Linked DNA regions of Lonchura striata. The protein of the gene in region 1 purifies or fractionates together with the protein of each later gene. This does not show direct contact. Links are inferred from orthologs where the notes say so. Each region holds a gene or a part of one and is shown in the gene's direction. Other genes may lie near its edges.

Evidence for each region. Proteins that work in one complex are often made in the same cells at the same time.
Region 2: the proteins of ALK (region 1) and PLCG1 purify together in Homo sapiens (affinity purification with western blotting; 3 studies listed by BioGRID, with this or other methods). This does not show direct contact. The link is inferred for Lonchura striata from reciprocal best matches to the Homo sapiens genes ALK and PLCG1.

Annotation. Positions count from the first base shown.
Region 1 is NC_134605.1:19,515,885-19,523,647, forward strand, and holds the start of ALK (ALK tyrosine kinase receptor), read left to right. Parts: upstream 1-4,748; 5' UTR 4,749-4,758; coding exon 4,759-4,858; intron 4,859-7,763. UniProt on the Homo sapiens protein: Neuronal receptor tyrosine kinase that is essentially and transiently expressed in specific regions of the central and peripheral nervous systems and plays an important role in the genesis and differentiation of the nervous system.
Region 2 is NC_134619.1:9,747,155-9,755,016, reverse strand, and holds the start of PLCG1 (1-phosphatidylinositol 4,5-bisphosphate phosphodiesterase gamma-1), read left to right. Parts: upstream 1-4,772; 5' UTR 4,773-4,807; coding exon 4,808-5,009; intron 5,010-7,862. UniProt on the Homo sapiens protein: Mediates the production of the second messenger molecules diacylglycerol (DAG) and inositol 1,4,5-trisphosphate (IP3). Plays an important role in the regulation of intracellular signaling cascades.

The DNA of each region.
Region 1 (7,763 bases):
AGAGAGAAAGAGATAGAGAGCCTTAAGGCACCTGGAAAGTTTGCCGGCAGAGGAGAAGGAGAAGATGCCCAGCATGGGAGATGGAGTCCTGGGCCAAGATTTCAGCCATCCGGGGAGTCTGGGACTTTTAACCCTTTCCTGGGAAATGAAAGCTTTATGAAATATTACTCCTCCTTGATTTGAAAGAGGAGAGAGACAGTCTGGGACCTGAGATGTTACGAAAAAAAGGTTGGGGTGGAGATGATGAAGTGGCTTTTGGCTGGACATTTCTTGTTAGCCATAGACTGAACCAATTTCTCTTCCAAGAGAGACTGCATTTAGGGGGATGCATGGTGAGCCAAGAGACCTGCTTCAGCAACTACCAGCACAAGAATAGAATGAACAGAGAAAAGTTGAGGAGGGTGTGATGATGTCCTCTATCTTCAGGAAGAAGAAGATCTCTGTTTGCACCCTTGGCCCCAGGGGAGGAGGGAAATGGGGGGGACTGTGGTCTGAAAATGAGAAAATGAACTGTTGTTTCTTTTGGTCCTTGGCAAAGCATCCTTAAAGGAGCCCTGTAAGCAGTCTCTGTCCATGCACAGTGGTGAGAGCACTGTGCATGGAAAGGAGAGTGTCACACTGGCAGATTTTCTCTGGGCGGTGCCACGTGTGACATGGAAACACAAGAGGTGGCAACTGTGTTTCCTATGGTACAGGAGAGACTCCTCTCTCCCCTGATGGACTCAGTATAGATTATCTGAATGGTGATGACTTGATTGAGGGTCCAAGTTATGTCTCACTGTGGTTTGTTGGAGTTGGGGTGGGGGAAGGAGGAATGTTTTGGAAGGTTTTAATTCTGGATTTAGTGTGTGTCTTTTATCATAGTTTAATGAAGTTCTTTTTCCTTTGTTTCTAAGTTGGCCATGCTCTGCTCTGTTCCTGATTGCATCTCACAGCACTTATTTGGGAAAGTGTATTTTCGTGGGGACACTGGCATTGTGCCAGCGTCAAGCCATGACAGATCCCAAAAGCCCATCAGTGGACATTGCTGTGCTGAGCGATGCGACAGAACAGAAAGGGAGCTGGCAGCTGGACCTGTGGCTTTGGCTTGGAGACTCCTGAAAGCTGATGTGTCACTGGGACACCCTGTTCCAACCCTTGCCCTGCCCTCCTCCAAGCCCTGGGCAGCTGTGGAAGCTCTCTGTCCCCCCAAAACTGTACCCAGTAACTATGACACAACAGACTTCTTTGTTCATCCAGGTGACGTCCTCCCTTGGGGTCCCACACCTGCAAGGTGACACTCACAGGACAAGTGAGCACAGTTCAGCCAGAGCACAAGCTTGTCTTTCCTTCCGAAACTTACCTGGTGAGCAGCAAAGTTGTCCTCCATTGCCAGACAGGGACATTGGAAGCTCTTGCTTGGGATCAACCTGCTCTGCTCATAGAGCAGCCCTGCAAAAGAAGGGGCACTGAGGAGCTGCCACCCAGCCCCAGCAGCCTGAGCATGGCAGAGCAAGGACCCTCTGCCCTCCTGGGCTCTCTGCCCTGCACCACAGCATTTCTCCCAGTGCCACTTGCAAGGACATGCTGGTGCTCCTGGTGGCTCTCCAATCCTTCTGCTTGCTAAAAGGCACCACAGACCCCAGCCCAGTCACAGGGCAGTGATCTTCATCTCTGCCAGCCTCTACAGACTCCTGGCACTAAATGTCCTCCACTGGGTAAAAGACAAGGAGTGGAAGAAGGTGAGCTGGGATGGCTCTGCTGCTCAGCTGGGGGAGGAGAGCTCAGGGACATAGCCCAGAGCAGAGACACTGCATGGCAGCGGCTCACCTCCTTCTCCAGGGATTAGATGCTCAGCAGTTAGGTCACTTGGGCTCCCTTTGTCCTGTGCACTGGGAAGGGGCAGGGAGACAGCTCAATAAGTCCCCAGCTGCCTATCCTCTCTTTTTAGCTGTGCTCAACACCACCCCCAAACATAGGGTCACCTCTGCCCAGTGGGGAGCTGTGTTCCGCTCTCAGGCTGCTCCTGAGGCATTTCCCAGCTTACCCCTGTTATGTTCCCACCTACAGCTTCTTCAGTGCCCAGGAGCTGCAGAAAGAGAGGTGAACCAGTGCCAGGCCCTGCTGCTCCCCCATCCCAAGGGCAGATGTGCCTGCACAGCCCTGCCCCATGGGAAAGGACACAGGGGCAGGACAAAGGCCCATGCTAGGGGTGGGACAGAGGTGCTGCCCAAGCCATGGCTCCCTCTGAGCTGCCAGAACAGCAGATTTTACCCTTCCTGGCTGGGGACTAAAAGGGGACCAGGGGATGTAGGACATGGAAATGTCCCCATCAGCTCCCTGCCAGGGAAGGCAGAGATCAATCCCAGAGTGATGTGTGCATGGTTGGGAACCTCTCCTGCCCTATCATGGGGTATAGCAACACAACCAACCCAGGAGTGGCACTGCAGGAGCTGTGGGCCAGATGAGGATGATGGAGGTCTCATCCTCATCACTGCCTTCTTCCTGTTCCTCTCTTCCTCTTCTTTCTCTGCCACTGCCTCCTTCCTGCTGCTCAGGACCCACAGCTGGCCCAGGGCCAAGCAGAGCTGTGGGTGCAGGGAGGTGCTGGGCTGCAGAGAGGAGAGGCAAGCAGTGAGGCCTCCCTGGTGGCCACCTGCAGCTGGGCACAGCCATGGTGCCAGTGTTGGGACGGTCACTGGTACATCCAGCACTAAGGTGCTGGGACTTGTGACAGGGCATCTGTGCTCTGTCCCAGAGCCAGGGATGGCACCCTACTGGTGGCTCATTAAAAGTGAAAAGTAAGGGATTAGGCTTCACATGTTGCGCAAGTTGATTTAGTGGACTCTGAAATAAGAAGAGCTGGGGTAAAGCAAGGATCTGTCCAAAGCATTTGCAGCCAGAGAAATGCCAGCCTCTCAGATGGGCTTTGAATCAGCTCACCTCTATGACGCTAAACACAGCACAGAGGTGGCTTTTTTTGTATTAACTCTATTATTTAACTAATCCTTCAGCAATTGCCCTGAAGTTCCTTCCTCAACGCTTCTGTGAAGAAATGATCATGGTTCCCTTTTCTAGCATTGCGCCTGCAATTACACTCTGTGGCATTACAATTACGGAGGCATTACACTGTGGTTCTGCTCCACAATATCTGTATATTAACATTAATTTGATATAAGCACAAGAATAACTGCACGACAGAATAATTGCACTCTAATGATTATATAGTTAAAGTACCTGGATTATAAAAATATACATGCATTAAGTATCAAACTAAAGAGATAATAATAAGTCATTAATTCATATAGGCAACTTCCAGAAATATGAATGAGTTATGATTAGCTATCCTAAGGCACAGCACTAATGTAATTACAGTAATTAAATTGTATTTATGAAGGGTGAAAAAAGGGGAAATTGTTGCATGGACCTTTCTTAAGGCTGTTGTTTTCATGCAGAAATTGAAGAATTTTGATCCATTTTTTAGAATGACTTATACTCTAAGATTTCTCCCCCCCCCCCACTACTTGCTTCTAATTTTTTTCCCCCTTTCTCTACAGGGGAAAGACATGCAGGGTTCTTTTATGGATGTTAGCCTTTAAGGAGGTACGGAAGGAAGCCAGGAAGGAAAGGAAGGGAAGAAAGGAAAGGAAGAGAGGAAAAGGAAGGATGGGGAAGGAGCACAGAGGGAAGGAAAAGGAAAAGAAATTAAGAGGAAAAAAATGAAGGGAAGAAAAGGAAAGCAAGGAAGAAAAGCGGACAGGTATGTCCATCATTGCCTGCCCAGAGAGAAGAGGCGGGGAACGGGACCCCAGAGCCCCCCGCCACACGGGGGTGGCAGCCGGGCTCGGCGCCCGGTGCCCGCCCCCAGCCCCTCCGGGCCGTGCTGTTGCCAGGTGCCCCGCTGCGGGCAGCAATTGGCCGCTGCCCGCCCCCGTTCCCGGGGCGCGTCCGTGCCCGGCCCGTCCCGGGGGACGCACACCCGGCCCGCTCCCCGCGCCCGCCGGGCCATTTCCCTCAATGAACGCCCCGCCCGCCCCGCCCCCGTACATTTGCATAATGAGGGCTACCGGGGACGCCATTGGCTGCCGGGGGGCGCGCTCGGGCGTGACGTCAGCGCTCGCAGGGTAATGCCTGCGTTGTGGCGGGTAGTTGGAGCCGGCAAAGCCCGCGCAGCGGCGGCCCCGGGCGGAGCGGCCGGCGGCGGCCCCGAGCTCCCTCCGCAGAGCGCCGCGCCGGCACCGCGCTCCCCGGCGCCGCTCCGCGGGCGCGGGACGGAGCGCTGCCGGCCCCCCGCGGGTCATGGCTGGGGACAGGCTGTCCGCCCGCCTCCTGGCCGCCGCCTGCCTCGCCTTGAGCTTGGCCCCGGGGGCGGCGGCGGGACCGCGGGACACCCCCGGCCTCTCGCGGCTGCAGAGGAGGAGCCTGGCGATGGACTTCGTCGTGCCCTCGCTGTTTCGCACCTACGTGCGGGAGCTGGTGCTGGGGCCGCCGGGGCGCGCCGCGGCGCGGTGCCGCCTGCGCTTGGACTGCGCGCCCCTGCTCCGCGCCGCCCGCGGGGCGCTGCCGCGGGCCGAGCCGCCCGCCGTCCCCGCCGGGCCCTCCGCGGCCGGGCGGCGGCTGCGGCGCGCCAAGCAGCTGGTGCTGGAGCTGGGCGAGGGCACCGTGCGGGACGGCTGCGCCGGCGAGCCGGGCCCCGGCGGGGCGCACCTGGAGTTCAACCTCACCGAGCTCTTCGCCTGGTGGCTCCGCGCCGGCGACGGGCGGCTGCGGGTGCGGCTGATGCCCGAGCGCCGCGGCGCCCTCCCGGGCAGCGAGCGAGGGCTGTCGGCGGCCATCCGCGCCGCCCGCCCCCGCCTCCTCTTCTACGTCTCCGCGGCAGGTGAGCCGTGCGTTGCATGCCGCGCACCGCGCCGGGCAGCGCCCCGCGCCCGCTCCCGCAGCCCCGCCGTGCCCCGCGCTGCCGTGCGCCCTCCCCGCCCGGACACGCGTCCAGCGCCCCGCACCGTCCCGGTCACTGCCGGCCCCGGCGATGCGGGAAGCGCAGCTCCCCCGAGCACTCGCGCCTTCCCCTCACGGCTTGTCCCTAAGGGCTGCGCTTTACCCGTGCGAAATGTATCGAAGCGCTTTGGTGGGGCCAGGAGGACTATTTTGAAGGTGACGAGGGATTTTTGCGAAACGCCAAGAGTTTCTATGTGCTAGAAAGCCACGAGCAAGTCCTAGAAGGTTAAAGTGTCATTAGTCGAAGGACAAGAAGATCAGGTTCTTTGAAACTTAAAAAATATCATCCTAAAAAGGGATGTTTCCTCAAAGTGCTGCGAGTGTTTTCAAGGTTATGTGACAGCAGACCAGGGAACAGCACAAACATCTCTAAAGTTGGGTCTGGCTCCTGATTTTGTACATTAATGCTACTATCTCTATTACTAGATATTGATATTACTATTATTCCTGATCTTTAAACATAAAATATAGGGGCTGATTGACATTTTAAAACCCCAAAGGATCCTTAGTGAATTGCATTCTGTCAGCTACAGTACAAGAAGTTGTACATCTGAGAAGGCTCGTGCAGCACTGGTATTTGTGCGAAGAGAGAACCCAGCTCAGAATTTTGGTTCTGGTGGGCGGTGATTGGCAGTCACGGTTTGGGGCAGCTCCTTTATCTCAAATCAGGACTCTGTTGTGGGCTAGTGATCAAGAGAAATTTCCATTCTGTGTGTGCTTTGTATCTTTAACAGAAGCTGTGATTCAGCCTTTCCTACTAGAAGAATATAATACCTAGAGGACTGCAGGTCCAAATAATTTGTCACAGTGAGTTAAGTCAGGTACTTTTTATGAAGCTTTGTAGAAGTCAATGATGTGTCCCTGAGTAGGCACCTACTTAATGGACCACAGAATACACTTCAGTAAGTTCACAAGAGGAGGGAGAAGTCACTGCTGGGCTTTGAATATAAAGTTGGAGCAACTGATTTTGGATGCTCATCTGAAAAGATGGGATAGCCATCTGAAGAGCTACAAATGGAACTCATCTCCTTGCTTGCTGCCTGAAAGGAAAACCAAAGCTGACTGTCAGGATAGGCTGTAAGTCCTGCAGCTGTGGCTAAAGTGAGGTACCCAGGTTTAGCTCTTCCTGTGCTGGATCTGGCAGGGATAACACAGAGGTGCTGTCCACCACAAGGTGGCTAGGCGAGGCCAACACCCCCCACCTTCTAGCAGGTCTTGCCTTGCTACATTGCCGTAAATAAAGAATAATTAAAAATTAAAGACGCCAAACCCTACTGTCTCCTTTTCTTTCTATTTGGAGGATTTGTTGTGATTAGCACTTGTTTTGATTTACAGATCTCCTTGGGCAGTGAAGCCTTAGTTTTGAATGCCATTTTTAATCAGGTACTTACAGCAGTGATGGAGCTTGAGGACATGCATTTGTCTTAGAGGATGAAGGTGTGTTTTTAACCTGAGGGAAGGGCATACATAAGAACTAACAGGTTCTCTGATGTGAATACAAAGCTATTAAAACTCACACGCTTTATTTTGTCTGTTGTCTTACTGTTGAGGAGAAATTCATGTTTTTCCAGATCAGTAGGAAGCTATGCCCCTGGAAAATCATGTTGGAGAGAAAGCTCTGCTGTTCTTACTGCAACACACTCATGCAAAGTCAGTCACAGAGGAGGTAGGAAAAGGAGGAGCAGAGGGAAGGAATATAGACCTCCTTTACCCATATTGAAGTGGTAACCTCCTTGCAGCTGTTCACAATCTCCTGTAAAAATCCTGATCTCTTTCCGAATTGCACCTCTGCTTTTTCAGCAGTGACTCTTTAGCATAGTTACACTGTGGCTTTGCCTTGCTTTTGTAACATGGGTTTGTTTAACAACATTAGGAAATCCATTCCCTGCTTTGCTAAGGTGCTGTCTATGTGAAAACCATGTGTCACTGCCAGCCTTAAATTTGTGCTGTGTAGCCCTGCCGACAGCAGGATGTGCTGATACAGTGATAACAGCACGAACAGCATCCACCAGCCTGTGAGATTCCAGCAGTTATTGACACCATTGCAGCTAATGTGCACGGGGCTTAACTAAAGCCCTTCCTAAGGCAACTGAGCCTTTCCTTCATTGCTTAAGCTAATTGGAAATGGATTTCAAACAACACAATCCTCCCATCAACAATGGAAAGCTGCTTCACTTATGTTGGCATACTGGGCTTTTGTTTTTCTTTTTGTCTGCTGGAGATGTCCAGGGTTGCAGTATTTCCCAGAAAAATGTATAATTACCTTGCTAAATTATTTTCATCACATTATCCTCCATGTGAATGGAGAATGAATTATATTTTAGGGTGAGGAAAAATGGCAAGGGGATGAAGTCCCACTGACCTTAGAGGTGATAACAGAGTCCTGTAAATAATGCTTTATTCTCTTTAACTAACACTTTCATTTGCTGGCTCAAAAATAAATTTAACTGAAGTGAATCCTTTCCTTTTTTAACAGCATGCTTGTACAAAGCATAAAGCACTTTGTCTCAGTCTGTTACTGAGCAATTAGTAAAGGATGTACTTATGGGCAGCTGTTGTTCTGCAGACAAGCCATAAAGTTGAATTTCTACAGGGCTTTTCTGCAAATATTCTTGATGCCAGATTTCTCTCACACTCTTCCTTGTGGGAACAGAGCATCCTGCAAGAAGCTTCCATTTAGAGAAACTGCATGGAAGTTTCATTCAGTTGGAATAGGATCAAACCTCAGCCCATCTACCATTTCTGCGTCAGCTTGGCCTTTTCAAATTGGGTACAAGAAAGTTTTC
Region 2 (7,862 bases), on another chromosome or scaffold:
GTCAGACTGTTTTACCTTTTCCCTCCCCCTTTTTTTCTAAGCCCCACTCCCCTCTTTTACTTGAAAGATTTTATTGTGTAAAAAGAAGTTTCACAGGTCAATAAATTTCGAGGGAAATGAGCATTGGTCCAAAAAGGAAAATAATCAAGATTTTAGGGCTTTTATTTTTTTCTTTTGTAATTGTGTAAAAAAATTTTAAAAATTAAAAAGCAGAATTTTAATGTGAAACCTTTTTTTGCTATAATCATTAGTCTTAGAGGCATCGTTAGCGTAGTGTGTGTGCAAGACCATTTCCTGCAGCCTTTCCTCAACAAGTATCTTCTATTTTTATCATGAATTCCCTTTTAATCAAGTGTAGGTTATTTAAAATAAATTCCTACAACTTAACTGAGTGTCGGTGTCTCTGTGTTCTTTCACCTCCAGCCCTGGATGTGAGGCCCCCGTGGTCGCTGGGCTGGTGATGATGGTGGGATGCAGTTCCTGTTCCCAGCCCCAGCAGGAATTCCCTGAAGGATGTGCCCATCCCTGCCTTGCTGTGATTGTGCTGCCCCCTCCGTGGTGCCCACCCTGGCTTTCCACGCAGGCACAGCTCGCAGTTTGCTTTGCCCTGGGGGAAGCCCTGCCCAGGACAGCAGAGAGCAGGAGCAGGGGGATGCAGTGAGCCCAGAGCTGCTCCGCCTGGTTTCTCTGCTGCCTTTTATTCAGCCCCAGCCCTCTGCACAGAGCAGGATGGAGGGAGGGCACCTCCTTCCCCTCCGTGCCTGGGAAGGGCGGGAGGCTGGGCAAGGACTCGGGTGATGAGGCTGATGGATGCATTCTCCCCCCTGGTGCTGGGAGCAGCCCTGGCCTGGTGTCCTTGGGGATTGTGGAGCAGGCAGAGCCCTGGCTCCTCTGCAAGCACCTCCCCGTGATCCCAGAGCTGGGGTGGGCTCCCAGACCCCCGAGGGTGGCTGTGGGGCCAGGCTCTGGGCAGCCAGCCCTGAGCTGCTTCCTGCTGCTCGCTGCGATCCGCAGGCACTTTGTTGTGGCTGCACAAGCTCGGAGTCTGGCAGGAGTTTGCTCTCTGGGGCCTTTCCAAGGTGCAGCGGTGAAAATGCCAGTGGAGAGGGAAAGGGGCTCATTGTGCTCCCAGCCTGCCCGTGGCTGAACAATGCAGCCTGTAAAAATATCATTTCTATTTATACGGCCCTGCTTCCCGCCTGCTGACCTGGCCCAGTTATCCCCTATCTTACAAATTCTAGTATTCTTGAACAGGGAATTGGGGAATGCAGTGGGAAGGGATGTTCTCCCATAGAGGGGGTCCCCCACCCCAGAATTGCTGCTGGCAGATCCACCTGGGCATGGTGGGGTTCTCTGGCCAGGCTGGGAGATCTGTGTCTGATGGCCAAGGCTGGAGCGTGTTGTGCCTCTCGGTCAGCAAGAAGGAGAAGGATGTTGGTGCAAAACCCACCCTTGAAAATTCCCCCTGCTCCCTCCCAGCACTGGGGAGCACAGGCTCTGTCCTGGGCAGGGGGCTGAGGAGGGTTTAATCGGTGGCTTTGCCTGTGGCACAGCATGCTGAGGACCACACACCCCACGGAGAATTCCCAGACCCCACTGACTCACTGTGCAAACGGAGAAATGGCCACAAACCTGCCACATCCTGTCTTGCATCCCTCTGCTGCAGCGCCTGTGCTCGCCTGCCCTAGTGCCACCACCCCCACAACCGGGCCTGTGTTTGGCAGCCAGGGAAACTGAGGCAGCAGTGACATGACCGGGGGAGAGGACACAAATGTAGCTTTGAACTGGATCTTGTGCAGCACAGGGCCTGGTGGCCAAGGGGAGGTGCAAAACCCTGCAGGATGCAGCCCCATCCCCCTTGAAGTCTTAAGGATTCCGGGGTTGAAAATTGAAACCGGGTGAATTCGATATTAAAGAAGTGCGGGGACAGGGAGCGGGAGCTGCAGTGGGTTTCTCGCCGGGTGCCGGCTGTCACCCAGAGGGAATTTGCAGCGCCGGGCAGGGGCTGTGGGGAGGCAGCCTGCGGGCACGGCTGTGCCCGGCTCCCGGAGAGCGAGCCCCCGCAGCCCCGGGCGGCTCTGCCCCGCATCCCGGCACAGCACCAGCCCGGGCAGCTCCGCACCGCCTTCCCCCGGGGCCCTCCGCGCCCTGCTCCCTGCAGCACCACGGCAGCAATTCCCCCGTGGGGATTCTCTCGGCTGGTGTTGTCTTCACCCAGCCCGGGCAGCGCAGAGCAGGCAGGAATGAAGAAATAACCCGGAGAGAGGCATCTCGCCCAGGGTCTGCACCACTTCCTTGAGTATCAGGCACCCACTGGGCAGAGGGATGCTGCGCTGCAGGGACCCCCGCACCTGCCTGTGGGGTGGGCTCGCAGTGCTGTGTCCCTGGATTCTGTTCCCCGGGCTTTGAGCATGCCTGGGGCTGTCCTTAAGCCGGAGGTCACCTGGCATTGGCCTGTTCCCGGTGGGAGGATGCAGCTGCTCCACGAATCCTGCAGGATATGGGGGATGGCATCCCGTGCTCCGGAACTCTGAAGGGGGAGGTGCTGGGGCCACTCCGAGGGGAAAATCCCCCTTTTCCCTGAGGCGTTGGCAAGGGGAGATTGCAAGACCCGCAGGCTTCCACAGCCATATGATGAGCACAGTCCAGAGAATTTCTTCAAAAGCAAAACAGGAATATAATGGAAGTTTTTACTGCCCTGAGGGGTGGGGATGATTGTTCACAGCCTGGCTGGTACAGGAGCTGGGGCCACCAAATGGGGCTGACAGACAGCAGGCACACAAGGGCTATCAAATTTCCTCTGCTGTCAAATTAAACAGAGGAATTCCTTGGCATGCAGCATCTTAGACACAGAGAGCTAATGCAAGGCTAAAAGATGATCAGTCAAACTTAGAAAATAAAAAATATCCACTGCAAACAGCTCATTGTAAACCACATCCTCCACGTGTTGGCCTCAGCCACCCCGAGCTCCGAGCTGAGGACACACCTTGCCAGGTGCTCTCCATCAGCAGGAGCTGGCAGTGTTTGGGAACAAGGGAGTTACCTGTTCTGCTTCTTCGATGGCCACACTCCATTCCCAGGTTTTGCCCTCAAAAACAAGGGTGTGCCCACAATGCTCAGCTATTTTAAGACCACTGGGAGCCGGCTGTTTCCTGCCGGTCCCAAGCGAGGCCATTACACAAGCCAGGAGCCACTTCCCACGGCGGCTCACCCCGGAGAGAATGAGGCCCGGAGTGCTGTGCCAGCACCGAGCCCAGGCTCCAGCAGCTCTGGCTCAGCTCAGCACATCCCCAGCATCCTTACAGTGCTGTCATACACTGCTCACTTCTATCAGGACAGGTTTAGACTCTCACCTTGCCTGTTTGATGCCCAGACGCCAGGTAGGATCCTAAACGACCTTATAGGGCTCCTACTGTGTGTGGATGCATGTGTGCTGGGGAATGTCCCTGTGGAGGCAGGTGGAGCAGTAGGACACAGAGAGCTGCTCACATGTGGAATCCACTCAGGGATGGGCCCCTCACTAAGAAGATGACACCCTCCCAGTCCCAGCTGTGAGCTGGGGGGCTGAGATAAGGGCTGCTGAGCACAGGCTGCCTTGCCATGGGCCTGTGGGCACGTGTGTGTACGTGTGTGTATTCACAGCATCATGAGGTTTGGAAAAAAGAAAAAAAATAATGGGATTGATAAAGTTGGAAAAGTCCTCTAAGATCATCAGGTCCAAGCATTAACCCATATTTATACATTTATACATATAAATGGGAAAGCCTGAGCACCGTGTGCCATGGGATGTCCTAATGTAAAGGAGGGCATGGGGAAGAAGGTCAGAGGCACACAGAAAGGGAAATCACAGGCTTTAACCACATGAATGGAGCAAACTGCACTGAAACGCTTCCCAATTCAACCACTTATCCCCTTGCTAACCCTGCTTTTGTGTGGTCTCTAACCCCTGTTTTTTGTGGGGCCAGAGAACAGCTGGAGAGTGTCCAGTGACCCCCGGCTCCCTACAGGTCCCCCAGGGGTGGGATGCCACAGGCCACCCTGCAAGCCCGGTCCTGTTTTCCATGCCAGCACGGATCCAGCTGGGATCCGTGTGGAGGAAACTCCAGCAAACGCAGACCTGGCTTCATCAAGAAGCCACACCACAGTGCCAGCCATACAGAGGGCTCTGTCCCCCGGAAAAGCCATCGTGGGATGCACTGCTGGAACTCCACACGTGGCATGCCAGGATCCCACACAAACCCTGCTGTGGGTGCCACGGCCCTAAGGTATCCTGTGGGCTGTGTGGCCCACGGGGGACCTGCGGGGTGCAGGGTGGTCCCCTAGGTGTGCCATGGGGTGCACAGTCCCCGATCCCCAGGGGTGCCATGGGGTGCACAGTCCCCGATCCCCAGGGGTGCCATGGGGTGCAGATTCTCCGATCCCCAGACATCTCATGGGCTGCAGAGTCCCCCCGTCCCGCAGGGGAGCCGGTGCCATGGGGTGCAGAGTCCCCCGGTCCCCCATGGTGCGGAGGGTCGCACGGTTCCCAGCGTGCTGGGCGGTCTGTGGCACTCCATCCCGCAGCACGAAGGAGCCGCGCTGTGCGGGGATGCTCCGAGCCCCGCAGCACCGGCTGCGCGCTCCCCGCACGCTGCGCGCCCGCCCTCCGCGCCGGCAGCGCTCCGCCCCTTCCCCTCCCTCCTCCTCCTCCTTCCTCGCTCCTCCTTCTCTCTCTCCTCCTCCTCCTCCTCCTCCGCTCCCTCCCGCGGCGGCGGCGCGGGGCGCGGCGGGGCTCGGGCGCTCCCGCTCCCCTTTGTTCGCCGCGCCGATGGCGGCCGGGCCGGGCGCCGGCCCCGGGGCGCCCAGCGAGGCGGAGGCGGCGCAGCTGTGCCGCAGCTTGGAGATGGGCACCGTCATGACCCTCTTCTACTCCAAAAAGTCGCAGCGACCCGAGCGGAAAACTTTCCAGGTGAAGCTGGAGACGCGGCAGGTCACCTGGAGCCGCGGCTCCGAGAAGGTGGAGGGGGCCGGTGAGTGCGCGGCGGAGCCCGGCGGGAAGGGGCGGCCGAGGGGCTGGAGCCCCGCCGGGAGCCGGGGCTCGGTGGCGAGGAGAGGGGCACGGGAAAAATAAAATAAAATAAAAATAATGAACCTCCAGGCTCTCCGCGCCCGGCATCTCCCCGCGGGCAGCCTGGGGGGCGGAGAGGAGTCCGGGTCCCAGCGTGGGGCCGACCCCGACCGCCCTGTGCGCGGGGGATGCGCGGGGGATGCGCGGGGGATGCGCGGGGGATGCGCGGGCCGGTACCGCCGCTGCCCCCGCCCAGCGCCGCCTCCCAACTTTCCGCATCCCTGTTCGGCACCAAACTTCCCCTGGGATAAACGCGGTGTTTTCCCGGGTGGTGCCTTGGCGAGCAGCACCTAAGGGCGGTAGGGAACCTCAGAAGGAGGCAGGACTAGTGTGAGCCCTTTTGCGGTTGCACCTCGGAGCAACAGATGAGATCGAACGGAAAAGGTTAAACAGTAGGAAAACCAACCCAAAATATTGTGCTGTAGTTCCGTCCTCTTCCCCGTTGCCCTCTGCGCATCAGCCCGAGGGTGCTGGCACAGGGTGTGCTGAGCCCCGGCTTCCTGTGCTGGATGGGGGCGAGGAGGACAGAGGAAAGGATGAAACCTGAGTGTAAAACCAGGTTTCTTATGCAGGGCCGTAAGGTGGGAAGGGGGTGAGATCTGGCATGCTCTGCACTCTTAAACTTGGTGTTGGTTTCCCAGGTTTTCTTAAATTATCCTTCCTGCCCCTGTGTGCACCAGCACGAGGACAGGGGCTCTGCTCTGTGTGGGACGTGAGGAAGAGGGGACGTGCACGAAGGCCAAGTGGTGGGAGAGCTGGTACTGGCTGTGGCACTGGCCTTCCCCATGCTGAGGGATGTGGCAGAGGCCCAGCAAGGCCAGGGAGGGGTTGTCATCTCTCCTGGCAAGTGCTGCTGGTCCAGGATGGAAAGCTGGGATGCTATTAGTACAAGGGGCTTTGATGAGGAAGGGGCATGGAGATGGTGGCCACACCTCTGTAGCAGGTCCACAAAATGCTAATCTGGGGCTTTGGTTTGCCCTGGGACCCTTTGAGTCCTCTACCTTGCGCCCTGTGGGGTCTACAGGCAGATTTGGAGGGAGTCTTTAGCATCATGAGGACGTGCAGCTCCCCCATCTCTTTCCCAGAAGGGCCTGTGGGAGCAGTGAGGCAGTGTGAGAGCAGCATTTCATTGACCCTGGGCTTGAGCTGTTCTCAAACTCAGGCAGAACAAACATTGGTCTTGCTGGGGAGATTCTGGTCTTGGGCAGAGCCCACAGACCACGTGTGCCCATGGGGGACAGAGGTGTCTGCATGGGTGGTTGTTCCTGGGGACAGACCTGGGTGTGTCCCTGTAACCTTTTGGGGAAATCTGGAGAACTTCAGTTTCTGTACCAGAGTTGTGGGCCTGACAATGATAAAGCCACAGCTGCAAGGAATCCTTGTGCTGTGCAGACATCCAAGAGCAGTGAAAGCAAAGAGAGTGTCCCAGGGACCGAGATGACTGTTTCTTTTAATGTCACAAAGAAAAATTCCTTGGGGCCTCTCTACTGTGCCACAGGCAAGGTGTCTGGCTGGTGGTTTTGGTCTCTGGGCTCCCCATGTGTGCCTCCCTGTGCTCGTGGTGATCTCACACTATGTGTGACCCTCCCAAGTGGCCAGGTGGGCCTTGCTGGACACAGAGGACATCAGGCTGAAGAGCTGCTGTATCTTCAGCCTCATCTCTCTGATGCCAGATGCTTTCCCCATGGCATCCTCTCTCACCAGAGCAGCTCACCCTGCCCTCAGTCCCCTCCTCTGGTGTCACCCAGCACCCTGAGCTTGCAGGGCTGAGGAGCAGAGCTTTGCTTTAACACTTCCTGGACAGAACTGTGGGGCTCCAGCTGGAAATACCAACCTGTGTACACAAGTAGTGCCTGGGTTTCTAGGCAGGCAAGGCAAAGCCATGGGATCGATGGCCAGCAGTACCAGGTTCTTGGCCAGCTTCCCTGTTTTTATCTGGATGTGCTTTCTGGGCAGAAAGAGGATGCCTGGGAAATGCTGGGTGTGTGACAGCTCCACTTCAAGGTATTCCCCTCCTGGCTCATCCCCTTGAGGTCAACATTGCCATGGCCATGGTGGGAACCAGAGAACCAGAGGGGGAATAATCTGGAGTTGAGCTCATCGCTTTCAGTGCAGGGTATGGGCAATGACTGATCCAGTTCTCCCCATGAAAAGAAGCCATGCCAGCACAGGGAGCAGTAGACTGGGGCTGGTAGGGACACTGGGTTTTACTTTTTGTGGTGGTTCTGGTTTGGCCTCAGCTTGCACTATGAGGAGAGTAGCCAGCTGTCAGGGGATGAGGTGTTCCTTCCCATGGAACAGCATCTCCTCCAAATGGTGTCTGGGGACTTACAGATCAAAGATTGCTGTGTCCATGGGTCAGCAATGGATGTTCTTGTGGTTTTTGAGCGCTGGAGAACACTAGGGAGTTTTAGACTGCTCTGGATACATGTTAAATGTCTAAGTAGGAATGATTCTGGGGTTTTATCCATTTCAGAACAGGTGAACATCCACGGTATATTGCATATGGAGGTTTTGGGCTTGGGGCATGTCTGTGTGGATGGCCATGTCTTGGAGAGGTCTCCATGGACACCAGCGACAGAGGATCTGTGCTCCTTTCTCTGCTCCTGTGGGCTGTGCAGAAAGGAGATGTGTGTTTCTCCCAGAGAGGGATGGGTGACCTGGCTCCATGGCTGACAGTGTTGGGAAGAGCACAGCCCCTGTGGCTGCAGCTTGGGAAGCTCCTGTTGCAGGGTGGGCAGTGCATGAAGGGACA